4 linked regions of the Oreochromis niloticus genome follow. The protein of the gene in region 1 purifies or fractionates together with the protein of each later gene. This does not show direct contact. Links are inferred from orthologs where the notes say so. Each region holds a gene or a part of one and is shown in the gene's direction. Other genes may lie near its edges. The genes, in order: mms19, ciao2b, pole and prim2.

What was found.
Region 2: the proteins of mms19 (region 1) and ciao2b purify together in Homo sapiens (affinity purification with western blotting; 11 studies listed by BioGRID and IntAct, counting the BioPlex papers as one, with this or other methods). This does not show direct contact. The link is inferred for Oreochromis niloticus from reciprocal best matches to the Homo sapiens genes MMS19 and CIAO2B.
Region 3: the proteins of mms19 (region 1) and pole purify together in Homo sapiens (affinity purification with western blotting; 3 studies listed by BioGRID and IntAct, with this or other methods). This does not show direct contact. The link is inferred for Oreochromis niloticus from reciprocal best matches to the Homo sapiens genes MMS19 and POLE.
Region 4: the proteins of mms19 (region 1) and prim2 purify together in Homo sapiens (affinity purification with western blotting; 5 studies listed by BioGRID and IntAct, with this or other methods). This does not show direct contact. The link is inferred for Oreochromis niloticus from reciprocal best matches to the Homo sapiens genes MMS19 and PRIM2.

Annotation. Positions count from the first base shown.
Region 1 is NC_031973.2:22,199,605-22,206,914, forward strand, and holds the start of mms19 (MMS19 nucleotide excision repair protein homolog), read left to right. Parts: upstream 1-4,304; 5' UTR 4,305-4,423; coding exon 4,424-4,511; intron 4,512-4,992; coding exon 4,993-5,041; intron 5,042-5,145; coding exon 5,146-5,506; intron 5,507-5,654; coding exon 5,655-5,729; intron 5,730-6,386; coding exon 6,387-6,456; intron 6,457-7,310. Other genes in the region: ubtd1b (ubiquitin domain-containing protein 1), read right to left, coding at 3,139-3,220. UniProt on the Homo sapiens protein: Key component of the cytosolic iron-sulfur protein assembly (CIA) complex, a multiprotein complex that mediates the incorporation of iron-sulfur cluster into apoproteins specifically involved in DNA metabolism and genomic integrity.
Region 2 is NC_031978.2:7,117,076-7,124,475, reverse strand, and holds the start of ciao2b (cytosolic iron-sulfur assembly component 2B), read left to right. Parts: upstream 1-4,393; 5' UTR 4,394-4,629; coding exon 4,630-4,756; intron 4,757-5,793; coding exon 5,794-5,873; intron 5,874-6,148; coding exon 6,149-6,274; intron 6,275-6,417; coding exon 6,418-6,463; intron 6,464-6,569; coding exon 6,570-6,670; 3' UTR 6,671-7,400.
Region 3 is NC_031977.2:17,883,661-17,890,687, reverse strand, and holds the start of pole (DNA polymerase epsilon catalytic subunit A), read left to right. Parts: upstream 1-4,016; 5' UTR 4,017-4,201; coding exon 4,202-4,266; intron 4,267-4,373; coding exon 4,374-4,509; intron 4,510-4,596; coding exon 4,597-4,677; intron 4,678-4,769; coding exon 4,770-4,814; intron 4,815-4,890; coding exon 4,891-4,983; intron 4,984-5,809; coding exon 5,810-5,964; intron 5,965-6,060; coding exon 6,061-6,205; intron 6,206-6,300; coding exon 6,301-6,381; intron 6,382-6,484; coding exon 6,485-6,592; intron 6,593-6,678; coding exon 6,679-6,789; intron 6,790-6,876; coding exon 6,877-6,962; intron 6,963-7,027. UniProt on the Homo sapiens protein: Catalytic component of the DNA polymerase epsilon complex. Participates in chromosomal DNA replication.
Region 4 is NC_031978.2:20,005,152-20,013,027, forward strand, and holds the start of prim2 (DNA primase large subunit), read left to right. Parts: upstream 1-4,864; 5' UTR 4,865-4,990; intron 4,991-5,804; 5' UTR 5,805-5,809; coding exon 5,810-5,954; intron 5,955-6,078; coding exon 6,079-6,191; intron 6,192-6,848; coding exon 6,849-6,943; intron 6,944-7,044; coding exon 7,045-7,165; intron 7,166-7,876. Other genes in the region: rab23 (ras-related protein Rab-23), read right to left, coding at 363-517. UniProt on the Homo sapiens protein: Regulatory subunit of the DNA primase complex and component of the DNA polymerase alpha complex (also known as the alpha DNA polymerase-primase complex) which play an essential role in the initiation of DNA synthesis.

The DNA of each region.
Region 1 (7,310 bases):
GGCTGCGTATATACGAATGTGAATCGCATTATTGGCTGGACTGTAGGATAAGGTGGCATCGTTCTAATCCCATACAGGAGCAGCCAGTCACTCACTGACTAACACTGCAAAACAGAATTGTTAAAGTTTTAATTTTAATTTCAATTCAGGTTAGATTTTTTTTGTGCGCAACGCAGATTTTCTGTGCGCAGAGACCGTGCCAGCAGTGCGCAATTGCGCACATGCGCAGCTTAGAGGGAACATTGGTTTCCACACCACTGAAGTCGTTTTACCTCTCTTTTCAACCAGCGGCATTCTTTCTTCAGCAGCCATTATCCTCTCCTCTCCAAATAACTTATGCTTAGCTTTCCGAGCTTCCCTCGGGTCCTCTTAATTGTTGTGACGCGTGTTCGAAACGCAGAGAGGTGCGCTCGATTTGCCACACGGAGCAGCGCGAGAGTAAAGCACGAGGGAGGTGCTAATAATCGGCTCAGTCATTTTTAATGATCGTTCAAAACCCAGATCGTAATCGAGATTAAAATTCGATTAATTGAGCAGCCCTAGGTTCAACCATAGCGATGATGTGCTGATGTAGCAGAAACCCTGCTCGGTACGAGACGAGCCAATAAAGTGAAACTATGACTTGAACGCCTCCATGTCAGAATCGAGCCTTGACATGACAATACAACAGCCCAGCTGATTTCTGGTTAGTCTGAGACAGCTGGATACAAACAGTGCTGAGAGTCACTCATGGGGAAGCTGGTTTGAGGTTTGATCTATATTTGCTTTTGACTGAAATTGCAAACCACTGTTACAGAGATGCTTAAAAAAACAAAAACAAAAACAAACAAAAAAGCACAACACCACTAAATTACAGACATTGTCAACTAAATTAATGTGTTTCTCCTTAATCAAGCTATTTTCTGAAGCAATTACATTCAAAATAGATACACCACCTTGGAACGGGCAGGTTTCACTTTCCTTCACAGTTCAGCTTAGTTTCCAGTGAATTATTTTGTTGATTCTTGAGATCCTAATCTTTGAGAGCTTTGACGTTATCGTGGCTAATCAGTCTACTGTTATTATTAAGGGATTTACAAAACTAGCAAGCAAACCTTGTGAATATATATATTCAGCAGGTTTTATATACTCTTAAAGCCTGATTGATATTTGACTTTATAAAAATCAATATTTAAGATAAACTGGAAATTGTGCATTTCTAATCACCTTTCAGTTACATCTGTGCTGCTTCTAAATGTGTTACTAACTTGTATATTCTGTAACTTCCAACACTTCCACAATAAAATCCCTTTATTGGGACAAATGATAATTTCAACGGGTGTCTGCATATCTTTATTTAAAGTCCAAACTTGTTCTTCCATTATTTTGTTTCAGCATGACAATACAAACAAGCTTCCTTTTTGTTCCTTTGAGCATGTGGTAGGCAGACCTAACACGAACATAGTAACACAAATTACTGAGCTCTCATCCAAACGAAATTAGAACAAATGGAAAAATTGAGATCCCATATAAGCTATCCAATTCCTTCTCTTATCAAGTGGTGTTTCTTTATGAGCGTGTATGTAACAGACAAAAGTCAGTGTCAGTCAATGATGCAGCGGGGCATGATGTGACTTGTTCTTGATCGAAGCCTCGTCTAGCAAAGGGAGCATGTTGAGTCTAATCAAGTTGGGAAATCAACATGAGCCACTGCCAGAAAGCCTGGGTATGCTGGCTGTGACAGCTTTAACTTTAAATAGCTACTCTGGCACACGACAAAGAAACTTACTTAGAAGGTCATATTGGCATCAAAAATCTATGTTAGTGTCTAATTTTAGGATGCAACTCTATAAGCAGGGGTCAGAAAGTCTATTCAAACAACGCCCTTTTTTATATGGCGAAAGCTGGAATCAATCTTAAAAACCTCCCATCTTTCTGATGCAAACTGGAGACAATTCCCACTAGAAAAAGGCGTACTGAAAAACTTTCCAGCAGTAACAAATCAAAGGGACAGAACCTGCATCCAAATGAATAACAGACATTTAGTTTCCTGAGCAGCCACTCTAAGGCAAACACTGAGCTCAAGTGGGCCTGCACTGTAGTCACACAAGTGAGCATGCTTTTAAAGCAATATGACAGAAATCTGAAAAAGCTGAAAAGTCTTTTCCCATCCCAATGTGTTTATGTGACCCCCATTCATGAACCTACCAGGCTGTAAAGCGCTAATCTCCCAATAATGACTGAGGGTATCATAACAAGGTCACACAAAATATAATCAGCATTGTTTTCTGTAAATCGAAACTAAGGAGAAGTTCCCAGTGTCTAATAATTCAGCTGCACGGAGCCTGTGTGTTGATGGTTAACTTCAGGTTGGTTAAAAAAAGTAGCAGTTTATTATTATGTTAACTTTCAGGAAAGTCCGTAACCAACAGACATGAACTGATGTGAAAAGAGAGCAACTTTTGGAATTAATGTAATGTAGCTGGCTGTTACAGTAACCACAACACAGAGCTTACACCCTAGATTTTAATATACGAAAATTACCCAACGAGTTTACTGCCATCAGCTTTGTTACAGATGTTATCTGAATATACTGCTTCACCAGTCTGAACTGATAAGATGAGAAAAAAACCTTGTCAAAGCTAAAGAATAAACTCCTTTTTTTTTTTTTTACCGATGCAGAAGAGGCACACATCAAAGAGAGCTACAACAGAATCCACTTTCCTCACACAAAATGCAAACTGCCACCTCCCAACCTGCTTCCACTTTCTGTAACTAGACAATCTGGTAACTTTAACCAACCCACCCAGATCTAAACCCCTTCTAAACAATTCATACATGTTTAAGATGTGTGTGTGAGTAATCGTGAATGGAGATTTCGTGCACCTGCCCAGATACCTCTGTTTAACAGCAGCCACAAGACAAAAAAGGGCCAAGTGGTGACCAGAAATGCACTCTGAGTAAAGTCTAAACCTGCTATTGCTATTGGCAACACAAAACTATCAACGCAGGAATATTTCTCTCTTCTTTTTTTTTTTTGGCATCACTAATCATGAACGGTCAGAGACACTATTGCTGTATGATTTTAAGTTTCCAGCTCTGATGTTTCAAAGAAACCTCCCCGCATATTTATACAACATCCACACAATGTTGCCTTACCTCCTCGTCCACCGTTCCTGGAGGAGCCCCGGCTCTGCGAGTCCTCCCAGCCTTCCAAGTATCTGCCCATACATCCCCCCATGGTTAACGGGCTCCAGATCGCTTCCACGGGTCTCAATGGCTAAACAGGGGCCCCATTGCGGACGAGGATGTTGTACTAGGTCCGATGAGGAGGATGATTCGTGCGCACAGCGACGCAAGACTGAGGGCGGCAGTTAATATTTAAATCACGTTTTGCAGCTCTATACGTTTCAGATTAGGGCTTAAAGTGCCCTCTTTGTAAATAATTTCTGCCTGCGTGTGACACGCGCACGCAGAGTTCACGGCTCGTGGCCCGCACCAATGTTTCAAGAGTTTGAGCAATCCGCAGCATCTGCCACCAGCTCGTTGTTAGCTTCAGGATATATACAGTATGTTTCTACTGTTTAACGTAGCTCGTTAAGCTGGGCTGACTTGTAAGTGTTGCTGTTAACCCGTCCAGGCACAGCGCACCTTTCTCGCTAACAGGCTAACAGGGCCAACACGCTAGCTACCGCGGCGTAAGTAAACACAAACTTCCGCGCGCACGAGATCATTTCCCCGCATGTTCCGTCTATGACAAACGTAGCGGGTCATTACAGCCTCCCTCTGTCCGCCGTACGAAGGAGTACTTCAGTTCTTTGACGAGCTCGGTACAGTCTTTTCTTTAAATAGCCCCCCCCCCCAAAAAAAAATTCTCTCCACTTCGCTGGTGAAAGGTGACCAGCGGCGGTCTGCTAGCGCCGCCGAACTTTTTTCTTTACGCTTGCGCAAAAGCATCCAGCCAGGTGTTGGTTTCTATTGCGTCAGGACTTGACACAATTATGAATGCAGGAGTACGCAAATTAATTTGTACACCGGAGTTATCATACAACAGCTACACGTTCTCCTAATGTCTATACTTGAAATTATACTAGTAGTAATTAATTGGAACCTCTTAAAAGCAAAACTTCAGTGGAAGGAAGAGGATGTACATCAGGAACATCAAGAGAATTCCACTTTTGCGAGTTCTAGTATTTGTAGAGTATTGTTCGGACGGTACGTGAATGCAGCATTAAAGGACATAATATTGAAGCTTTTCTTCCACCATTCGGTAAATCTTTTCATTCTATAAAGATGAAAAGACACTGTTTTGTGTGGAAATAATATTATACTGTTTTTAAAGGTTATATTTTTATGAGATTATAATCTAAAACCAGTCGCTTTTCGCGATTCACCTAAAGTTTTCGCGCATGCGTAGTGCCAGCGAAGTAGTTACAGGGACACGATGGCTGCGGAGAGTACCTTGGCGCTGTCTCTGGTGGAGGAATTTGTGTCTGGACTGCAGGACAGCAAGGCTAAAGATGCGGCAAAAGGTAAAAGGCTTTCGTCGCGGTTTGCCGGTGACATTTACGATGCATTTTTCACAAAAGTAACGCGGGAGAGGCTGTAGAGCTGCTCTTCGAGGATGCGCAGCGAGACGTGATGGTTAACTAGCTAACTTAGCGCTACAACATCCTGTGTAGTGTTGTAACCGCAAGATAAAGAGCAAGCATTCGCCGTGAAAATATATTTGCTCATTTTGTTGGCGTAAATGCACATTCTGGATGTATGCATCAAGTTTGAACACATTGTCTCTTCACAAGGACTCTTAATTTGATGCTAGTCCGCAGCGGTTAAAGCACATGCTGCTTGCTAGCTGCTGTGTTTGTGTAGAAGTACCCTGTCAATGAACCCTGTGGCCTTACCTTTGAGTTATAACCTGGTACAGCTACTAGAGTTAGAGCATGCGTGTATTTGCATTGCGATAGCGCATCACTCCACTTCACTAAACTTATTTGGGGGTTTTTTGATCAGGTGTCAAAGATGGGAAGTTTACAGTTCTGCAGCTGGTGGAAGCACTGGGGTAAGCAATCTTCATCGTCATGTCAGGGGAAAATATCAGCCAGAGTTTGCAATTACATTCCTATCTAATACCAACTTCTATCTTCATTCCCTTTCCTATTAAAGGTCCAGTCTGACCAGTTCTCAGCCTCACACTCGAGCCCGAGGAGTCCATCTGCTCTCTGAGGTTTTGCAGGAGTGCTATGGAGATCTTACAGAGAGAGAAGGTACACCTTTCTCCTTCCATATACTGTGCTGGCATTGTACGGCTTCGTGCAAAGTGACAAATCAAAAATGCTTTCAAATAACTGCATTTTTATATCCATATATGTCTTCCGATGACGCTTATTCATGTCAAGGGGCGATCAGCACTCAGCATTTCTTCCTGTTCTTCTCCACAGTGGAAGTGCTCATTGCCTTCTATGAAAACCGTCTGAAGGATCATTATGTCGTCACACCTCCCGTCTTAAAGGGGCTCAAGGCGCTGGTTAGTCGTTCTTTGAAAACATTTTGTTTCTGCTCAAATCTGTAACTTTATTTCAGGCTGGGGGACTTTTTTGAGAAGTTCCAAATGTGAGGCAGGTTATGCATTTCCTCTTTCTTTTTTTTTAATGTGCATTTTTCCCCCCATTCAGACAAAATGTACAAACCTGCCTCCTGGCTCAGCTGTGTCCATGCTGAGGTCAGTGTTCCAGGACATCCATGTACAGGTGAGACTGTCATATTGTACATTTAAAGTGTTATTGTGAGGAATAACAACAGTGCTGGATTGATTTTTACCTACATAATTTCATAGTTTCAATACTTAGTTGTGAGCTTTGATGTGTTTGTGTTCTTTAAAGTTGGAATTGAAGAGAATATGGATTTTACAAAGACTGCATTATGTATTTTACTTAACCGAAATTGTTGTCAAGATCAAGTTGTTGCTTATAAATAAATCACCTTACATTTATAACTAATCTAGATCACTGTACTTGGAGGGTTATGACAAAATGCTAATGTTAGAAATTAGATTTAAGCAATTTGCAGTGCATGAGTTTTCACCATTAATCAAATAATTTATTATGATTAACCAAACAATTCACATTTTACATTCCACTTTTTTTTTTTGTAATATGATATCAACAGTTCGACTGTCTGAGTTGTTTATTCTGACTTTAGTGGACGTTTTATGACTTTTCCTAGTTTCGCAGTTGTTTGATTTTTCCGACATTAATGCTTTTAAAACCTAATGTAACACACTGTCGGAAACATCTAGCCACACTTGTTAGATGTTCTTGTTTCCTCTCTGTTATTGTTTTTGCTGGTAAAACTGACTCATCTAAAACTGTTCCTACTAATAACAAATGTATTTATTTCCCCTGCAGTCTCTGATGCTATCAGAGAGAGCATGTGTCTACAGCATGCTTATCAACATCATGGAGACCAGAGAGGCGGGTAAGAGATTATGTTTTGATTCACAAAACCTCAGTTAATAGAGACAGAAAGCTCTGTGGAAGGAAGCAGGTCATGTTGAAGTAACCAGTGATTTAAGAGTTAAGCATGAGCTTTAAAAGTCGGGCAATCTCACAGCAGTAATGGAAGGCGTTGACACACTGTCCTCTGTTTGGCTAATATTTTAGGATAACAGCCATACTGTAAAAGATGCAAATGGAGGGCTGACAGTGAAATACTTGTGCTCAGCTACCAGTTGTTAAACTGGAAATGTTTACAGGAGGGATGGTACTGTGACCTGGGCTTTGTTCCAGAAAGCAGATTTAACAAACTCTAAATGTAAGCTCTGAGTTTTTGGTTCCAGACTATGTTCACCATGGCAACGGTCAAGACCCTCCTGTTTAATTCTGTGGGTCATGTTGGATCGTGTTGTTTTCGTTAAAAAAACAGAAGAGGGGAAAAGTGTGATTTTAACAGCAGAGATGTTTACTCATTTACACAGAATCATTTCATTATTATATATTTTTTTGAAAAAACAGTTGGGATCTAACCAGATTTTAAATGAGTAGTGAATCTTCATTATTCAGCTGACCTGACAGGGACAACATGCAGGTTACAGCAACTGTAGATAACACAGTTTAATTACAAACTGGTGATATTAATCAGACCCAGTAAGGCTGCTTTTAGGTGATTTGTCGATGTGCAGCACCTTGGAATACATTTATTAACTTTATTTTAAACTATATTTAGAATACTGTCAGAGTCTAAAAAATCATTACACTCTTCTTCATCTCCAATATGATAAAAATCAACATGACTAATAACAGCATTCAGAGTCATCAAAGAGTGATTTATAA
Region 2 (7,400 bases), on another chromosome or scaffold:
GTTTTGTCGCTGGATGATATTAAATGAGACACACAAAACGCTGAAGCCGCTGTTAAAAATTGTGAGCTAGTTTAATTTACACCTTCAATAAATGTTCTGCCACATGCTTTTTATAAATAGTTGTTCAAATGATAGTCTCTTTGGCTGGTTCCTTCACCTAATTCCCCCGAGGGCGAGGTAAAAGCAGAAAAGAAATTCTTCCTGACTCTTCGAAATTGCTTTCCAAAGTAAGTCATCTTCTGCTGTCACTTTGTGACTGTTGCAGTCACTCTGAATATGCACATTAATGTGAAACAATGAGCAAACTCCTGAAAAGGAAAATGTGAACATTTCTAAAAGGCTGCAATTATAAAACACATAGTTATTAACTTTTCAACTGGAACAATACATCATTCTAAAAGACTGAACAATAATTTGTCAGAACTGTAATAATGTGATACTTTCCTCTTTAAGAGGAAAATGCGACCTGAAACTTAAAAAGAAGCATGATCTCTCATCCATTCTCATCTCACAGTATGGTTATAAACCATGAGTTAGATAAATAATTTAAAACTAAAAGATCTTCATTTTGCAATTTCATGTTTAATTCAGTGAATAACAAAACATAGGTTTAGCATGAGTGAACACATAATATAAAAGCCTATGTTCAAACTTCATTGTTCACTCTGTTTGTAGCTTTTGTAAAGAGAAAAAAAAGTCTAGTTTCTATAGTTTGTATTTCTCCTCCAAAAGTTTACCTTTGACCTTGTATATTTAATTCAGTATTTCATAAATGATGAAAGGCATCTCATTTTCTGACAAGACACAGAAACTCTCTGTGAGACTGCAAAGTTTGCCTCAATATGTATAATATATTTTATGTGCTCCAGTGGCCAAAACCCATAGTACAAAAGGTCATGGCTTTCTGGGCTTAATTACAACTTGAATGATCAGAATTTACACAATATTGGTCAACTTTTTTTTAAATGAAGGTTCACAAATATGGCAGCAGTGTGTCAAGTTAAACCTAAAATGTACAGGTGGAAATCACTAACCCGGTAAGAAAAAATTAGCTTTTATGCTGATGTGGCAGAGATTTTTAAAGCATTTAAATGATACAGTTTCACTGATGTCTTTTACTTTATAAACTTAAACCATGATCCTAATAATTTGCAAGTAAAGGTGACTGCATGCAAGACAAGACTTGTTCTCCTGGAAGTATATTTGTTTTATTTTGCTTTTATTTCTGTTACAAAAATGAATAAATAAAATGATAAAATCTCTCAAAATTTTCCAGGATTTGTATTCCCACACTGGTGACCATTTGCGTAGCTGCCTGGATATGCAGAGAGAGGGATATGAGGGATTCAACCTCCAAAAGGCCATCAGTGCAATGCCCTCCACAGGTCAAATAATGACTTGTTGCAAAGTTGACTCGAACAGAAAAGAGAGCAAGAGCAAAGCTCACCATTAACAGGGAGAAGTGTGAAAAACATCAAAGATCAAGAAAAAAAAAAAACAGGAGAAGCACAGAGAGTAGCTGCACTGGACAGTTTCCTTTCGTGTTTGATAATCAGTTTCCCTTCACTACAAAAGTTCTTTGCATGTTATGATTTCTTTCTCCTCAGCTGCAGGGGCAAAGCTACAGAACTAACAAGTAGCCGAATCATGAAAAATAGCAGTCGACATTACTGGTTATTCAACCTATTTTTGCCTGGCCTGAGGTGACAGTAGACAGCTATTATACACAGACATGGGTCTACAAAGCTCTGCCTGGCACCTATGGACTACCATCACACTAACATGCAGGGTCCTTTAGTGACTGTCTGCTTCTTGCTACTGTTCTTACATCACATAGCAAGAGTGAAATTTACACTCCTAATGTCAAGCACTGACCTGCGTTCTGGTGTGACTGCTGTCCATCAAGTGGATAAATCACATTTACATTGTCTTTAGTCTTTATTTTAATGCCATGAGCTATGTTGTATTAGACAAATGGTCTCAAGACTGAAACTATGAGTTTCAGTAAAGTTACAGAACAGGGTCACTTAGTAGTGATTTCCATAGTCAATAATAATGTTCCAAACTTCCTCTAGCATTAACATCAGCACAAAAAACTGTGCACAGGGGGCTTCATGGCATGGGTTTCTACAGCCAAGCAGTCCCCGTAGGTGTCATTTTTGGCTCAGTACTTTTGTCCATATAATGCCCACTTTCTCACTCTAATAGGAATCTCAGTGCATAGTTTTGGGCAGTCCTCAGAAAAAATGAGTTACCGTAATTTAAAAGTTGACTTGAGAGGGAAGTTCAAGCCTTCTATGCTTTTCCATTTCTCTGCACCTAATTTTTGCACTGCATATTTCAAAAAGCTACAAATACAGTCAAACCTAAAGACCTCTTTGCAATAAAAATTGCTCTATAGTCCTCATAATCCATTTTTTGGGAATACATTGTGACATTAAGGAAAATAATCTACCCATATGTCTGCATATTGCTAACATTTGCTGCTATTTTTATGGCAAGCTGTGAACTGGTTGTCTGCAGCTTTGTTGTCTCATTATGCACATCAGGTGTGCTGCTCCAGGCTCAACACCACCAGTGGTTCTCTATAAATATGGAATCCCACCATGCTCTGAACACAAAGACCAAATGAGGAATAATCACATAATGCACACAGTGCATGGCAGCAGCAAGCTGCTCTCCACAGGTAGCTCCATTTTATTATCAGTACTGTTGAGAATTTTAAAAAAGACTTCTTTAAATTCAGAAGCTTAAGAAACCCATGTCTGACAAACAGTGTTCATTTTTCACAAATGTTTTGACTTCAGAACGGGATATTATTTCCTTCACATTCACAATGTCAGACCATGAAAAACTCACCTCTCTGGACTCTCTACATTATGCAGCAGCAAACTCTTACTTCTCATTCTGATAGTGCACTGCATTAATGCGAGACATAAAACTTTCCTGTTTGTGCCTCATTTATCTACATGCTTCTAAACTTTTCATCCCCAAATGCTCAAGGTTTTCTAATCAGGTGTTCTGATTAGACATTAAACTTGTGAGATATTTAAGACTGGTAATGTTGATATGATTTTAATTTAGTAGCTCATTAAGATTTTGCCTTTTATAATGAAAATTTTCAGTCTTTTTCATGTAGTTGCAAGACACTGAGGTTTTGGAGTCATCTGTGCTGATAATGTAATTCTTGCATAAATTGGGCTTAGAAAAAATGTTCACTGCTGGTCATATCTAATTTCACAGAAACAACTATTTATAAATAGCATTTTACCACCTGAAACCAGAATTGTGAATCTAAAGGTTGTTAGTCCATATTGTCACAGTTAGGAAAATATTTTCGCCCTTTTCAACTGTCGCTGCCCTTATCCATGACATTTTTATTAAAACATGTGTCAGCGGCCGTGTGCAGTCTCATTATATGCACATTTTTTTCAAAAGGTGAACATATCAGGCTGAAGTAAAACTTCACATCAACCACGCTCCACATTTCCAGTGACTGCAGCAGTTCATTAAGATTCTGACTTGATAGAAGTAGTTGATGGTGATGGCAGTTGTGTAGTACAGAAATGAAAACCATATAATAATTTAATTTTATAAATAAAGTGCTTCCATAACCAGTTTGTTTTAATTTTTTCAAAGATAATCATTGCAATGAGTTTGTAGGGGCTTAACATCAAAATGGTGAAATTACTGTGTTTAATTGAGTTGTAGATACCAGTTTAGCTTTGAATACAGATACATAATCTCATTATCATGCTCGAGCTTTGCTAACAGAGAGGAAATTCTAGGAAACTAAAGTGAGGACTCATAGCTAGCCCACCAATCTAAATTACCACTGGTGGCTTGTCATAAATTTATCAGGATACACTTTTTACTCTGCATAGATGAAAAAGCAGAATCTCTCTTCTTCCCGATAATAGGTCAAATGTGTTTGAAAGAACATGCAAATTAGATCTGATTCAGGTGTGCACAAAATAAAAGAACTGTGAGAAAAAGAAATATGTTTTTGTTTAAAAAAACAACAACACACAAACTAAAATAAATTTTAAAAAAAATAACGTAATAACGTTACATGTAAAAAGTCATGTGAAATTAAGATTATTGTGGTCAGTATATTGTTATTGCAACAACACTTCTATTAAAGCGTATTTTGTGCGTAAGGTTGTTGGTGTCAAGTGCTAAAATGGGCGGTATCTGCCATCTGCCGGACAACCAGGGAGACAAATGCCAGTAAAAAAAATTATATGTACAGTCAAAGCCTTCAAAATGGGAAGCCTGGGAAAATTTGAACATAACAAGAGAATAAGCAAAGACTATGAAAGGAAATTTAAATGGCATTTTTTTTTTAAAACAAACAAACATCTGTATAGCTTACTCCGTCTCACGTCCGAAAAGGCACTCAGTTAACTGAATACGTATCTTACTGAAAGAATGCGTATTTAGCAGGAAAGAATTTGCGGGTACTGTTCCTTTAAGACTGTAGAACGTTTATGTTTTGGACTCTGCGGCTTTCCGTTATTCCAGGAAGTACTTCATGAGGGCGCTAGTTGTACAGCTCGTTTGCAGCGGCAAGCTCTGACAAAATACGAGGTTTTTACTGTTTAACGTGGACTAAAATAAGCGCTGAACATGTCCGAGGGGACCCGCTTGGAGAATGCAAACCCTGTGATTTTTCAGCGGTCGGGGGAGAGAGTACAGACGGCATCCGAAGAGGATGAAGACGTCCACGACCCCATCGACGACAGAGAAATATTCGATATCCTGTTTAAATGTTTTACTGTGGTTTAGAGTGGATTTACACCTTAGAGATATGCCCTTTATCCTTTTTTCTAATGATGTTTATGTATTATATTATTTGCCTGACTTAAACGCTAATACCAGTGCCATTCAGCTAGATAATGAGGTGAAATCGAGGGAGTTAACAGCAGTTTAAGAAGTAGCCCGATTGTATCTGGGTTTGCCGACAGGTAATAATAGTCAGTTTCTTAGTATTGAAAACTTAACTAAACATTTTGAAGTCAACTGTGTTTTAATAGGTTAGTTGACCATGGTAGATTAAACTTATAAATACCGTTAATGGTTTGGGTTACGCAATTCGTATTCTCAGGGATTGTCTCATTTTTGTAAATATATTTTATTATATAATTTGAACAATTTGACAGTTTGTAATTGAGTTATTGTTAAGCTGATGTTAGTATTAGTTGAATGATTTCTTGGACCTATGTACAGTGGCTATGCAAACAGCTTAAAGTCAAAGGATCAGACAGTTTATTTTATTACAAAATCGCACCTCTTTAAACAGGTTCACTTGTGGTTCATAGACTATGCTTCAATCTTTTGTACAATGAGTTTTAAGCCATTAGCTACCAGTTTGGGTTCAGGAGACACACACCATTACTACTTATGATCAGACTTCAGACTTAAGTTTTTGATGAAGCTTCTGGGCATTATACAACTTATTTTCACCCCTAATGTGTTTACATGCCAGTGATGCATCTTATTAACATTTGTTTTCTCTTCTTGTCCTTTCTTTCCCCTCCTCCCAACTGGTTATGGCCAATGGTAGTACTTTGATGAGCCTGATTCTGCTGGAGGTCTCTCCCTGTTACAAGGGAGCTCTTCTGTTCCACTTTTACCAAACACTTGCTTCACAGGCGATATCATTCTTGGCGTTTCTCTCTAATATTGTTGGATCTTTACTTTAATATCATTAGTACAGTGATTACAGTAGTGCAGAAAAAGAAATATTTATTATTTGTATTATACCGTCTTGAATTCTTTAACTAAAGTTACATCTGATCAGATCTATCAATGACCCAGAGCATCCACTGTCACTGGAAGAGCTCAATGTTGTGGAGCAAGTTCGAGTTAAGGTGTGTGGTTTTTTTTTTTTGGTTTTTTTTTTTTTGCTTCCTATTTTATACATTTTTCCTATGTTTGTAATAGTGTGAATAAGGAAATAAAAAGATGCTCTGCAACACACTTGCAGATACTTTAGTAAAGAAAATGGTTGAAGACAGTTGAATCCAACAACAAGCATTTCATTCAAAAGTATTTACAGTGAATTTCATTGTTAAAAATGAATGCAGTATGCTGTTAGGAAGATAAATTGATGAATGATGTTTATTATTTGTGTATGCTCCCTCAGGTTAATGATGCAGAGAATACTGTGGGTGTTGAGTTCACACCTACCATCCCTCACTGCAGCATGGCAACACTCATTGGTCTGTCAATCAAAGTCAAACTTCTGCGCTCCCTGCCAGACAGGTTCAAAGTATGTTTATGCATGTTTTTTCACATGACATGCACATTTAACCTTAAGCATATTTTACAGTGTCAAATTTTTCTGTGCTTTAATCTTTTGTTATTTTCAGTTGTGGCCTACATTACAGTATATTTTTTTCTATTTCCTCTCAGATTGATGTTTGTATCACTCCTGGGACTCATGCTTCAGAGGAAGCAGGTAAAACTCCATAGAGAGAAAGGAGGCGAGATGGAATTTTAGACCATTTTTACCAGTATAATCTAATGCATTTTTTATCATACTGTTTATGTCATTTTGTGTACAGTGAACAAACAGCTGGCAGACAAAGAGAGAGTGGCAGCAGCTCTGGAGAATGCATCTCTACTGGAGGTGGTCAACCAGTGTCTGTCCACCAGGAGCATCTGAACAGCCAGCCAACTTTAGCCTTGTCAGCTTTTAGACTCAGATTTTTGCAGGAGGACATGTTTGGTTTCTTTGAAAACTTGCTTTGTATCTACCAACTATCTGCACACCCCTACCCCTGGTATGAGTAGCGTGATCAGGATCATACAGGTTCTGTACATTGGCAACATTTACTGAATAAGAGTACAGAGAAAGCCAATTCTTAAATTCCCAAAGAATAATATAATCTGAGTGTAAGCTCATAACACAGTCTCGTTTGGACAAAGAAATTATTCTTCCACCTGGAAATTTTAACAGTGTGAAAATGCAGAGAAACTCTACCTGTTACATTTGTCATATACACTCACTGGCCACTTTGTCGGGTGTATCTGTTCAACTGCTCATTCATTTAATTATTAATCAGCCACTCATATGTGAAGAACTAAATGCATTTCAACATATATACATGAGAAAGGTCATCCGCTGAAGTTTCAGTGTAATTTAAGTGATTTTGAATGTGGCAAAGGTGTTGGTGCTAGACTGGCTGGCCTGAGCATGTTATAAAATGCTTATCTAGTGGGGTTTCCCCACTCTCCATCCACTTGTGGGGTTTACAGAGAATGGTCTAAATAAAAAGAGAAAATATCCAGTGAGAGGCAGGTTTTTGGGTGAAAATACCTTGTTGAAGAAAATGGCCAGACTTGAAGGCCACAATGGCTCAAATGACTACTCCTTATAAAACCAAACTATGCTG
Region 3 (7,027 bases), on another chromosome or scaffold:
ACACACAGCGACCGGCAGTGAATGAGAGCTTGGTGTCCTAAGTTTTTAAGTTTTCATCGTTTCTTTTCGTTTCTATTGCTGGCATTGAAGGGATGCCAAATGCTGTCATTTTACTGTAAAGCAAATTTACCTCGCCTATGGCTATAAATAAAGTTACCTTGACCTTGACCTTGACACTGTAATGAAAGCCTTCAGTGAAGTCCCATATTTGAATATACATTAATAAAACAAACTTAACTCTGCAAAAGACAACTAATGACAATGTCTGAATGGTCTATAGTTGTATTTGAGAATAATGGAAAATAAAATATGTAAAGGACTTTATAAATAGGAAATTCTTAGTCACAAAAATGAAAAATAAAATGCTATTTTTGTTCAGCTTTCATGCTGGATTGACCAAATATGACATGTCGGACCATAAAAAACAAAAATATCAGTAGATAGTCTAATCGCAATAGAACTACATTCTGGAGTTTCCAGGTGGTACATTAAGTCTATCTGAGAGAATAATTTTGTTAAATATGTGGAGGATTTTAATTATCAAAAACCACATACACTTTGTCCTGGATGAGTCTGATAATTCATGTTAAGAATAAAATTTATTAAGACGCATTAAAAAGACAACAAGTAAGGACATAATCTTCTCTGAACATGCAAATAAATGCAGTAAATCAATTAAGATTCATTAAGCGGAATGAAAAATGAATTCTTGGTTCATATGAAACATTGTTGCATTTTTTTAAAGGACTGCTTTCATGTTTTATTTTTTATTTTTTAGATTTTTCCCAATTTTTCAGTGTAACTTTCCCAAATTACAGATCCTGACTAATTTTTAATGGCAGGAAAGGCCACTATCAGGGTATAAAGGATTGTGATACATAATGCAAAATTTTCAATTTCCAGCATTAAATTGTTTTTTGGAAAATATGGTCAAGTAAAAGGTGATTTGAGATTAAATGACCCCAAAGAAATATGGAAAAAAAGACATTTCTAGATTTTAAAAATGGGATAGACTGTTTTAACTTGCCATTTCAGGGCAAATGATGACTATAACAACTAAGAAAACAACTAAGTAATTGCTTTTTTCAGCCATTATTATGTTTTAATTGGGCAACTGTTCATATACTTAATGTTTAAGACTATTTTTTAAAAGATCACTATTATCACTATTAAATATTTGTCTTTCTCCAAGCATTGGAAAAAGCACAATTCTTTTGATGTCCAAACTTAATGAATCCCCATAAAAAATAAACTCCTCTTTAAAGCATGTTAAAATACATCATGACTATAAGAAAAACTGAAATACTAAGTCGTGTTTGTCTCTGTGTACTGTTTAAGTTGCTGATTTGAAGGTCAGAGGTCAGACACTCTCTCAGGACAGCAACACTGAAGTTCTTACTTTCATATATTAAGTAAATTATTCAGTAAATTCAGTCAAACAGAAGTAAGAATAAGAGAAGTAATTACAATCTCAGAGGTCACGTGTATACTTTAGGTGACTAAGTCCTATGCATACACACATGAGTGTGTTATCTATGACAGCTGGACCTGGCTGCAGGCTACATTTCCCAGCGAGAGTCCTGTAAACAGCCTGCCTGTAACAGCTGACATGGAGAGCATGCGCTGCTTCATGTGGGGTAAAGGTCAGCACTGAGGGAATGAAAGGAAGGGAAGTTCAGGTGAAGGAGGATGGGAAAGAAAAAAAAACATCCATAAAAAACAGCAGCAATAGCAGGAACACTTGAACACATCCAAATACAGAATCTAAATTAGACACATGCGTTCTTTGTCCCATTGAAAGATTTCATTGTTTATGTTTTTTTTTAGATAAAGAAAAAATATAAAGATTTATTAACATCCAGTCTGTATAATAGAAGCACAAAATTAGTGAATTTATCCTTTGGAGCAAATTTAAAGCTGACGCAAAAAAGGAAAAGGCTAAACCGTCACTTTCCTCGAGAAACAACAAGATCTGAAGGAATGTATTTATGAAATAGCTTTACTTTTCATTTTTATCTTTATTTTCTTAATATATATCCTGATACCATATAGCAGATGAATTATTTCTCTTGTGCTTTTCCTTAAAGAACAGACTTATTCTCACATGACTCCCTGTTTTAAATAAAAGTTAAGCACATCAATTTTTTATAGGAGTTTTTTTTTTTTTATGTCACTTTTAAAAAGGTGCATCCAACTTCTGGCGTGAACATTTTACCTTGTAAACTTACAAATATCTGTGAACTCTGACAGAAAAGTTGAACTAAACACAACAACTGATTCTGCCTGACATAAAAGTTAAATCAGCCCACTGATCTGATCTTTTCCAGAGTTCAGTCTGGAGAAAAACGGGACTGTCTTTTAAGTTAAAGTTAACGTGTAAATCAAAACATGCCATTGTCACTCACCTGCACACACTCAGAAACCGGGCAGCTCTGCTCCCGGGTTGTTGATTGCGTTGTTTCACACAGCCAGAGAGCAACAGTACCAGGCTAACCGATTTAAACCCACTGATTATTTCCCACACCTCCACACCACTCGGAACTTATCATGAATTAAAACACATCCGTCATTATCTTATTAATGTGACACAGACCCCAGAATCCCTCCAAACTCTACCGCTGCCAATGTCTTTATGATTATAGACAGTGCCTCGCCAGCAGCTACAAATGTCAAAGTCACCTACCACTACCTCCACTCCACAGCGGGAGAGTAAACATGTGCGTGGGGAGGGGGTTCCTCCCAGAGTTAAGGGTTCCTCTGAAGATCGTGTATACTCGAGATGTTCCTGCTCGATAGAAATCAGTAAGCATCTTCCGATTAGCGGAAAAATGTTTGGTTCGTCGGTCTTCTGTTGAGTTCATGAACAATGGGAAAAAAGTATACTTGAACTTTAAGACCGTTCAGTTCATATTAAAAAATCAATGTATCAACAAGCACCTTTTTTTTTCAAATAATGGAATCTGATTGATATGATGCCCACCTTTGTTTTCATTTCCTGTTTATTCTGTATTATGTGTGTGATGAACCTTTCCAGGAGTTGTCATCCTCCAAGAGCACCCAGAACAGTTAAGGTCAGTGATCACGATTCAATAATAAGAAAGAGACTAGGCAAAAATGGCACCCATTTTTGCCTAGTCTCTTTTTGCCATGAGGCACCCACTTCTGAACAAAAAGGACACAAAGGCTCGTCTCACATTTGCCAACAAAAAAACAGCTTCCCTTCCCAGATCCCTGAGATTTTTGTGGACTGATGAGACAAAAGCTGAACTTTTTGAGTCCCATTACACCTGCTGTAAAACTAACATAGCATTTCATAAAAAGAACACACTCAACAGTCAAACGTGGTGGTGGTAGTGTGAACAGCTTTGTTGCTTCAGGACTTGGAAGACTTGCAGTGATTGGTGAATCCATGAATTTTATTCTCTACCAGAAAGTCCTGCAGGAGAATGTCTGGTCATCAGATCATGCCCTGAAGCTCAAGGCTGGACTTGGATTATGCAGCAGGACAATAATCGAAAACACACCAACAAGTACACAACTGAATGGTTAGAAACAAAGAAACATTTTTTTTTAGCTAAATGAAGTTTTTGGAGAGACCGTGCCAAAGTCTAGACTCAAATCTGATTGAGATCCTTTCGCACAGTTTTTTTGTTTTTTGTTTTTTGTTTTTTAAGTCATGTCATATATGATATCATAGGTAATATGTGACAGGGAAGGCTGAATTTTACCAGGAAGCAGTAGTCTACCCAAAAAACTAGTAGTCTACCCAAAAAACTAAAATCAAAGTGTGTGTGTATATATATATATATATATATATATATATATATATCACGTAAACACTTTGCTTTCTAACGTTTTTTTTATTTATTTTGTTGTTGTTTTGTTTTTTAAAGGCACATCTATGAGCCCCAACGTTACAATGAACATGACATTCAACCTAAATAGATACGTCTCAACACCACCGTGAGGGATTCATCTCCCTTATTAACGATCTTTGTACTTCCGGTTCTCAGCTCCGTCCTCTCGCGGCAACTGCAGGAACGCGCCAAAATAGGAAAACAGCAGGCGAGTCTGTGACAGGCGCAGAGAAATCCAGCAGACAAAACTTTGAAATTAAAGCGACGTGTCTTCAAATGCGGCTTCACGCACACATTTAGCTGTTTTATTTTAGTGTTTTGTAACCAGAACATCGCGATAGAAGATGGTTCTGCAGAACAGTGGACGCTACAAAGCGGACCGAGGACCGAGTGGGGATCCGGAAAGCCAGTAAGTCCAGCAGCTCAAAAACTTCATAACACTTTCTTATTCAGAATATTAATGGATGACCGAGGACTGTGAGGATTTAGTGTCACTGTTGCGTGTGTTTGAACCAGGGATGATGGATCCTCCTTATCGGCCCTCAAGCGGCTGGAGCGCAGTCAGTTCACCGACGAGATGGACGCTCGCTTCGGATTCGACAGGATGAAGGAGCCGGGAGAGAAAACGGGCTGGCTGATCAACATGCACCCCGTGAGTCCTCGCAGTGAGACAGTTTTTACTTTCTGTCTGCTGCAAAATAAACACTTAACATTTATTTTTGATGCTCTGCATTTGTAGGCAGAGATCCTGGATGAAGACAAGAGGATGATCAGCGCGGTGGACTATTATTTCATACAGGAGGATGGAAGCAGGTTCAAGGTGTGTTTGGGGGGAAAGCAGAGTGCTGTAACGCAGCTTATTAAATGCCCTGCATTTTACATTTTCTCTCATGTATTCTGTCTGTGCTGTAGGTGTCTCTGCCCTTCAAGCCATATTTTTACATTGCGACGAAAAAGGTAAGTTAGTGACTGTGATTATGCCAAGTGAACATGTTTTTTAAAAAGTAATAAATAACAAAATGTGTATGTCCAGAACTGCGAGAGAGAAGTCATCTCATACTTATCTAAGAAGTTCCAAGGAAAGGTGGCAAAGCTCGAAATTCTCCCAAAAGAAGACCTGGACCTGGTGAGAGTTTCAACTGACTTTAAGTTATCTAATAAATAAATAGTTAGTAAATAAATAAGTCAAATAAATGTAGATAAATAAATATTTTCTATATTTATTTACACAGAATTAATGAAGGAATAGTTGGCAGTTAATTAATGGATGATTTTTGACAAGAGCGCCACCACAACACATTTTCAGTCATATAGAAATCTAATCTGTTTATGTATGCTCACCGGACACTTCATTAGATATGTCTCACTAGTACTGGGCTGGAAGGCTGGATGATCCATGCTTTCACGTTGCTTATGTCAGATTCTGACTCAACCATCAAAATGTCGTATCAACGAGGTGTACTGCCACTTACTGGATATTTTCCCTTTTTTTTGGACTATTCTCGGTAAACTCTAGAGATGTTTATGAAGGTAAAACTCAGCTGATCAGCAGTTTATGAAATACTCAGACCAGCCTGTTAGGCATGGCACGTTCAGAGTCCGTTAAATCATCTTTCCTCCACATTCTGATGCTCAGTTTGAACTTGAGCGGGTCGTCTTGACCACTTCTGCTTGTTTTTATGCATTAAGATGCTGCCATGTGATTGGGTGGTTTGTTTCAGTGAGCAGTTGAATGGCTGTACCTAAGAAAGTGGTCAAGTGAGTGTACGTCTTTTAAGAAAAATCTAAAAAAATATATCCTCTTACCACTGTGGCACTCTTGTCCTTAGTATTTAAAAAAAAAACGGCTCTTGAATATCAGTGTTTTTGAAGGTATCATGAACCCTATTGGCTGCTAGTGTTGACTTTGTACAGCCAATCACATGCTGATTCTGCTGATCTGGTCTCTCCAGCCAAACCACCTTGTCGGACTGAAGAGAAACTACATCAAGCTGGCGTTCAACACCGTGGACGACCTCGTGAAGGTCAAGCGTGAGATTGCCCCGGCGGTACGTAAAAACCGAGAGAGGGAGCAGTCCAACGATGCCTACACCTCAATGTTGTCAAGGTATCACCGAACCTTCGATCCCGTTAGATTCCTTTGATGTTCCGCCTGACGTTTCCAGCTTTATAATAACTCCCGGACACCTTTTTGTCCTTTTAGTGCGCTATCAGGAGGCAACGTGACCTCAGTGGATGAAGACGGGATGTCAAAGAGTATTTCAGATCAGTTAGACAACATAGTGGACATGAGAGAGTATGACGTGCCTTACCATGTGCGTGTGTCCATTGACCTCAAGATCCACGTGGTAAGATCAACTATATCTGGTTCCAGTGTTTTCCAGTGAAATGTTCCTCTACACCTGTGCGTGCTCTTCTTATCTTTACTGTCTTTATTTTTCAGGCTCACTGGTACAACGTTCGATACAGAGGCAGCGCTTACCCGCCAGAGATTGTACGGAGAGACGATCTTGTGGAGCGACCGGTATCAGGATTTTGTTGTTTTAAGCCTTCCATCATCCATTCAGAGTTATACAGAAGTTTTGATTTATGTCGGGGCTTTTCTGTGAAACGCTGTTTCCCTGCAGGACCCCGTTGTTTTGGCGTTTGACATCGAGACCACCAAGCTTCCGCTGAAATTCCCAGACGCGGAGACGGATCAAATTATGATGATCTCCTACATGATAGATGGACAGGTGAGGTTCATTTGCGTTTGATTTTTAAAGTTTTTGTTATGATCCTGTTTGTAATATCATCTAACAATCCTTGTGTTTTCACGTAGGGGTTTCTAATCACAAACCGAGAGATCGTCTCTGAGAACATTGAGGATTTTGAGTTTACCCCCAAACCTGAGTATGAAGGGCCATTCACTGTTTTTAATGAGGACAATGAGGTATGTAGCCACTAACAATAAAGCATTGATGTATAAAAGGCTGCTGTGTGTTTCTGTCAGTTTAATAACACGCTGTAACGGTTGCAGGCAGCTCTCATTCAGAGGTGGTTTGATCACGTTCAAGAAACAAAGCCAAACATCTTTGTGACCTACAATGGAGACTTCTTTGATTGGTAAGCCTATTTCCTGTTTCTGTAAAAGCCAGTTACTTACTTTAAAGGTGAAGTGGGTAGAATAC
Region 4 (7,876 bases), on another chromosome or scaffold:
CACTGAGAGGCCACAATGCTAACCACTGCACCACTGTGCTGTGGTTAATAAAATATTAAATAATAATAATTAATGTTAATTAAATAAAAGCTGAATATAATATGTGGCCTTTTTAAGTAAAATGTCTCAAATTTAGTCAAATTCATTTTTTTTAAAAAAAAGAGTAATTTCTGATTAAACCTAAAATGTGGGTACCAACAGGATTCCACATTGATCAGTATGCACTTACTGAAATATGTATTTAATATTGTAAAACAATTTTATACAGCTGAAGTTGTAGTTAGTTAACAGACCCTCTGCGACTTTGATTATAGACTATAACTGATAAATAAAGTAGAACATCTTTCAAATGATTATCTTACAGTATCTGCCTTTCCAGGAAGTCCACTCCAATTGTTTTTTTGTAGTCTTTAGTGAAAATGCCCTTGCAGTAACGTTGGATCATACTGGACTTGCCGACAGCTCCATTGCCGACCACGACCACTTTGATGGCCACTTCCATGTCCTCCTCCAACATGGTGGTGACGTCTGGCTGATTTTCTCAGTTCCACTGTGCCTGTGTTGTTTCAGAGCTGTGACGGGAGCACATGTACCAGCTGAAAGTGTAAAATAAAATATTAGATACTACAAAAAAAAAAAAGAAAAAGCCACACAAACACTGGACAAGTGCAACTCAAATGTGGTTTATATATGAATCACTCACTTCAGAGACAGTTATCAGTTGAACAAATATGATGAAAACCAACTTTGTTACTGAGTTTATAAGTTACTTATAAATGCTGTTAAAGTGCAACTGACGATCAAGCAAATTAGCAGAGGCGCAACTAACTGCTACTTATTTTTAATACTAATCAAACTTATTTTCAGTTTGATATGTCAATATACTGTTACAAATGTAGTTGTCCAAGCCTAAAAAAATGTTTTACAATACATTTTTATAGCCAACAGTCACAACTCAACTTTTATAGGCATAATAATATAATTATCATATTCGCCAGCACCACAAGCACTTCATTGCACTCTAATACACGGTGTCACATACACAACGTCTGTAATTAGCTTTTAAACTGTTATGGGTGCACATTTTACTAACTGTTGTAAAACAAATTTTCAGCTTGACTGGAGAGGTGGTTCACTATGTTTATTGTTCCATTAGTGCAGAAAACTGCAGACTCCGCATAGCAACCGGGTCCCCACAGCTATATATGTGGAGTGGCTGAGTGCTACGCTAAACAACATATTGTGGGAAAGCTGTTCTCAGTGGACACTGACAGCCTACTGCGTGACTGTAGTGTTCAACAGCCTGCCTGAATTTGAGTCACAATATGTATCTGTAATTGAGCCGAATGACACATCAGTTGGTATAACATGAAGGCAAAACACAGCTGAAAATAGAATAGTATGCTCTTCTTTTAATGTAAACTTTTGGATTATTTTAAAGTCTTGACTTTGCATTTCACTTTAGTTGAGTAAAGACCTCGTCTTCCTTTCAAGCAGCTAGTCCTCTCATATTCAAGTGTAGTCGGTTCTGGAGTTGTAGTTTAAATGTGTTTTATCATCACAGAAACTGTCAAACTGGGAGGTTCAGAAGCTGATTATGCATTGTTTATTTATTACTACTATAGGTTTAGAACAACATGATTCAGATTTAGATAAATGATGATGATTTGCTTTAACAGTATTTGAAAATGAGATCTGAATATGAGATCTTCATGCGAGCGTTTCCGCAGGTCCTTCCTCCCTGCAGCTGTCAGACTGTACAATCAAAACTGCTCCCAACAAACATAGAGGTTTACATCAGCGCTGTAACTTGCACTATTTTATCAACCGATTCACACTATAACCTCTTATCTGTATTTAATTTTATTTAATTTAATAACGGTACAGTACTCTGTTTTTGGTAAAAATTGTCCTTGATGTAAATATGTAAAAATTGTGTATGTTTCTGTTCTGTGTCTTGTGCACTGTTTGTTTGTATGTGTGTCTTTCTTGATGCTGTTACACCCAAATTTCCCCTTGTGGGACAATTAAAGGATTATTCTATTCTATTCTAATAATTGTGCTCTTAGTATCAATAACAGTGTGGGGCAATCTTTTAGCACTGTGGTCATGTCTTATCCCCCACATTTCTGAAATGAATCACAACTCTCCTTGGGTGATCTCAATAGGTCATGTTAGGGCAAGGCCTCACAGAGATTTCATTCTTAGCCCCCACTGATGGTAATGTGAGTGACCCAAGTTGGGGGTTTTTTACGTCTTGGCTCATGTGGTGACTCACATTATCAATACTGGGTAAGGATCACTGCCAAAGGGTACCCCCCCAGGGTAAATACTTGTGACTTTCCACCATTTGTTTTTTTAAGGGAAAAAGACTCTTGAAAGAAGTCCAGCTGCTTTCTTTTTTCAAGCTCTAAAGAAGTGACTGGAAGGTGCAGTCGAACACTTCAAGACAGGTATCAGCTACACATATTTAAACACAATATTCTCCATACCTGCACAAACAACTGTCCTGAGTAAATTCTGGGTTTTCAGATCAGTATTACCCCCCCCACACAAATGTGATAACACCGAATCTGAAATATACAGGCCTACTGCATTTTTTATATAACATGGTAGGAGAGTATGCTTTGCATTGCTATGCACATAGTACTGAATTCTGCTCAGTATGAAGCAGATAATACACCCCCCTTGCTAGACAGTGAGTCATCTTCATAGACTTACCGTTACTTGCCCAGGCCTCAAGGCGGGGCACCACAATTTTTTAAAGCACAGACTGAATAACACAGATCAAAACGCCATGACACCCAACTAAGCTATTCAACTCTGTCGAAGACTTTTGCTATATGTAATACGTTCATAGTCTCTGATGGGAATTAAGTTAGAAGTTAACTTCTCACTCCTCTTCTTCACTCAAATCCCTTGCCTTGGTCAAGATAAGACCTGTTGAATTGCTGAAAGGAGGCTCCCCTTGAAGTACAGAGCAGCTCCTGAGGTAGTGCGTTAAAGCTGGGTGAAATAAACGGTGAAGAAATGATGGGAAAGCATGCCAAAGAAGCGTGCAGTTTCTTACCTGTAAAACGACGCTACAACTCATCCAATGACATTAGGCGAGTTATGCAGTCAGCTAACCCACATCCACATATCTACAGCCTCCCGCCGCTCTTCTCCGTGGCAAGAGGAGACGCAAGAGACTCCGGTGCTAAGGCTGCCTAGCTAAGATTAGCCACTTTTCACAGAAGAAAGACAACCTTCTGCTCCGTTCGCTAACGTCTTCTTCCCTGTCTAGCGCAAAAACGTTCTCTCCTAAACGAAAGATGCCGTTTATTGACTGTCAACACCTGAGGTCACTCTCATGACATTTATAGGATGGATATCCATTGCTGCCTATTTCAGTGAGCTACGTTGCGCGTGAGAGCTAGCCAGGCAGTTGGCTAGCTCGCTAGTGTTTGTTGCTAAGCAGCAGAGCCAAAGAATGCACAAAGCAAGAGAGTCGGCGTGAACGCGCCTCTGTCCTCGGGAGTCTTGGGAACACTTGTAGTTCTCATATGTTAGCCCTAAAAGTCACGACTGTTTAAAAGTTGAATTATTGTCATTATCGCACATGTTTTTACCCCGCTTTGATATTATTTTATTCACAGCTATTATATATGTCTTATAAGCGTGCTTTATGTGGCCATATCACAACAACCAGGAAAAAAGCGTGTGAAAATTACTCACAACCGGATTAAAAAGTGCATTTTACTTTCAGGTATGTGAAGTAAAATGCATGTTATAAAGCAGAAACACGGAAATGTGTTAAAAGGGAGTACATTTAATTTCCACTACAGTTGCTCCCTTTCTGAATATGTGTCATTAATGTGAAACTTTCAAATAGTTAGTTAAATAACTTTAAATAACTGCAGCTTCATTTTTTTAAAAGGCAGAAAACACCTAACCGTCTGCTGAGAAAATTGTAGTAATGGTTGATGTCAGTTAAAAACGTAACGACGTTTTGGTTTTGTATAGGTTCATTTTACTGTATGCATATGAAACTTACCAAAAATGACCAGAAGTTGGGTTAGAATTTTTTTGTTTGTTTATTGAGTTAGCCACAAAATAAACTAAAATGTCTCTATAATATAACATGACCATTTACCAATTTCTCTAAATACAAAACTTTTGTACGTCAAACCACAATATTTTGGATTACATACACTGGAAAAATAAATGCGAAATGTCTGATCTATTTCGACCACAGAAATCACAGTTATAAATGACATGGAATTTAAACCTTTCCAGAAAGTGCTTTACAGAATATATTCTGTTTATTTTAAAACTAACATTCTTGTGTCAAACATGCGGTGTTTCATTCATTCCTGCATATACACCCGTATATCCATATGCAGTGTCTGTGTGAAGAGAAGTTTATATGCTAAGGACGTGCCAGTAATCCTTATTTGTGGATATTTGCTGATCTGATAGGTAAACTGTCTGTGGAGTAGTGATATTTCAGAAGAAAATCAGTCCAACCAACCTTATCAAATGGGCATTTGGAAAATGAAATGGGTTTCTGAATGATTTATTTTTAATATCTGGGTTTAATTTTAAAACTGTTATTAATCGTTTGAAAAACAAAGATTTTCTGTATTTGAAGATAAGAAGAACCCGCGTTTTATTGGGGCGTTTGTTATGTAATACACATGGGCCCGTGAGTTTGTGTTGGATTTGGTTCAAACGCCAAAAAAACAGAAATGGAAACATAGTGTGAAATGACAAATTTGGGTAATATCCTTTTAAAAGAAACTTTTTGCTTGAGTTTTCATGGAGGTCATCGTTATTTTGAGAGACGGGACGGGCTGTGCTGAAAAGTAAAACGAGTACACACCACTTCACAACTTTCGTTCTCTTCCGGTGTCGGATGCAACGTCATATTTTTAACCCGCGTTTGTTGAACAGCCCACTTTGTTTGGCGGGACTGCGTTATTAGGACTCTAAAACCGTCATCTAATCGGTAATGTAACGACAGTATTATATCCTGAACCGTGAAATAAGTTTCTCGGGCTGTGTTCGAGCTCGGTCTTTTCAACGCAGTTTAAACTCAAATTTGATACCTAGCAAACGTCAAATTTGGAGTTTTTCTCCCTACCATTAACTTCTTGCTATGGGCTCTATTGTTAACATAAGCTAAATAGTCTCAGTTAGCGGCTACATTTAGCCTCGAACGTAAAAATTGAGTTTATGAGAACGACAGTTACTGACTGCTGAGCCAGTGTAACATAACAAACCAACTAGCTTCACCCTGTCAGTTCAGTTTGTCTGTAGAGGCTAATTTCTAGCTGTCAGAAACATTTCGACTCTTTTCTTTAATCCCTAATTGAGCGACTGTGATGAAGATTAGTCAAGGAGAAACTCCGTTTGCCAAGTTTTGCTTTAAGTTATACCGGGTGCCACTTCTGCACAGACTGGTTAATGGTTAATAGCAGATGCCTGCAGCAATTCGTTTGTTCTGATTTTGTATAGCAGCATCCTTTACTGTGTCAAATCAAAGGCCAATGAATTTCTTAATGTTTGTTAGTCATAAGCGTTTAAAAGGTCGCTCGGGTCTTCTCCACAATAGTGTGTTTTATTTATTCAACTCCTAGTAAAGAGAAAATGGCAAAATCACGCGTTATGCATTTTGAAATGAGAACAGCTTATTTAATTGTCATGAATTTGTATTGAAGGTCGCTTTGGTAAATGGCTCACTGCATCAGATATGGCAGGTTTGGGACCCAGCTTGTTACCAAGTGGTACATGAAAACATACATGATTTCTCTTAACATCAGGCACTATGCAGTTTGGAGGCAGAAGAAAGAAGAATAGCATTAACCCTCAGTCGGAGCTCTATGGGCAGCACCTGCAGTTTTATGGACAGCCTCCTCTTGAAAACATCTCTCTCTCTGAATTTGAAACATTTGCTGTGGAACGACTGAAGTGTAAGATTTGTCTCATACTAGTGAAATTCAAATGATGAAAATTACTGTAAGCATTGTTTTCTCTGCTCTTGTGAAATACATTTTATTTAGGACATGTGGTTACTAATGTCTGTTGCCACTGTAGTGTTGAAGACTGTGGAGAATTTGGGAGTGAGCCATGTCAAGCTTACAGACCTGTATATAAGCAAACTTGAGAAAGAGCTTAAAGCTCTGAACTTTCCTTACAGACCAGATGCTGTGAGTATGTTTCCCATTATGCAACTTTAAAGAGTATTAGTGAGTCCGTTATTGCATTATGTTTTCAACAACTTCAGCTAAAGCTTTATCACAAAGAGATTTCTTTTTAAACTTCTACCTGTTACGTGTTTTAATGAAAACACAGGGTTTGGATTTGGTTAGGGTCCTGTAATATCGCACTGCACTTCATGGTGCTTGTGATCCCCTTAAAATGGCAGTGAGACGTATCTAATAAACTGTCATAGCTTTTAGAGTAAGGCCAGTGTATAGCTCAATGTGTATTAACACAGTGTTGACTTTGATGCCCTAGAACTTAAGCTTGCGCAGGATCCATCAAATTCTCTTTGCAATAGTGATGAAATAGCATGATTTAGCAATAAAATGTATTTGTATTAGTAAAGAAGAGACACTGCTGGGTGTTGCAGAAAACGTGACTCATTTACTAACATTTTAAGACCCTATGCTGAATTACAAGAGCCTGAGATAATGGAAGTTAGTGTACAGCTACCGTAAAAATGACTTTTAGTATGTGATCATTTTTTCATATATGTACATAAAATAAAAAACTGTACAACATGACAAGAAGTGGTGAGTGATGATTAGATGATTGACATCTATTTGTCTTTCAAATTACCTAATTGTTTTCTAACCCTTAAGGATGACAAGAAATCTCAAAGTGGACCAACTGAATATGAAAAACGAAGAAAAGACCATATCTCCCACTTCATTCTCAGACTGGCCTACTGCCAAACGTAAGTCTTTAGTCTCCATTTAGGAATACTGAAAGATGTGGTCAGAATAGAAGTTGTTCAGCTGCAAAAGATAAATGTTTATTTCCATTTGTCTCTCAAAGGGAAGATCTGAGGCGCTGGTTTATACAACAGGAAGTTGATCTTTTCCGCTTCCGTTTTAATGACTTGGACCCAAAACAACAACTGGAATTTCTTCACAAGAATAATCTCCGCTATGACACAGTAAGCTTTCCTAAAGAAAACACTTGGCACATTTCAAAAACAGGTTTGTTCTGGAAATTATAGTTGAGGAGGCTTACCACCAAAAAAAATTCCAACTGGAAACTTGAAATTTGTGTCTTCTTGTGATTGTGACTTATTCAGAAACACACAATTTGTCTTTTTTTATATCACCTTCAAGCTTTTTTTTTTTTTTTTTTACTTAGCTACAGTGAGTTTCTCTGGGAAAATTATATTCTTCTCTCCCATCATTTCAGCCTGAGAGTTTTAATTAATTAATTAATTTAAAAAAAAAAAAAAACAGTCATCAGTCCAGTGGAAACACTTTGGAAAGCTGCTTCTCTTCCAGCTGCCTCCTTGGACCTCAAACACTATTACTTATTTTTCTACAGCTTTTCTCCTTATTTCTTGCCTAGAGGTGCAGGCTTCTCTCTAAGAACAATCACTATTTTCTCTGCTTCCCTGAAAGTAAATATGTTTCCTTATATGAAAAAAATTGGGGCGGGGCAGATAGTATGCAAATTGTAAGGCGAGTCTATGGGACTGTTGGTTCCGAACAGCTATGATTTACTATTGTATGCATCGTGGTAAGATCAAAATAAATAATAATAATCCTAAATCTGGTGGTAATTTTGAGTGGGAAGAAATTTGCGGAGTAAGACCTTTTCCACATAGATATTAATAAATGAGGCTGATTGTCCTGTTGCATGACCA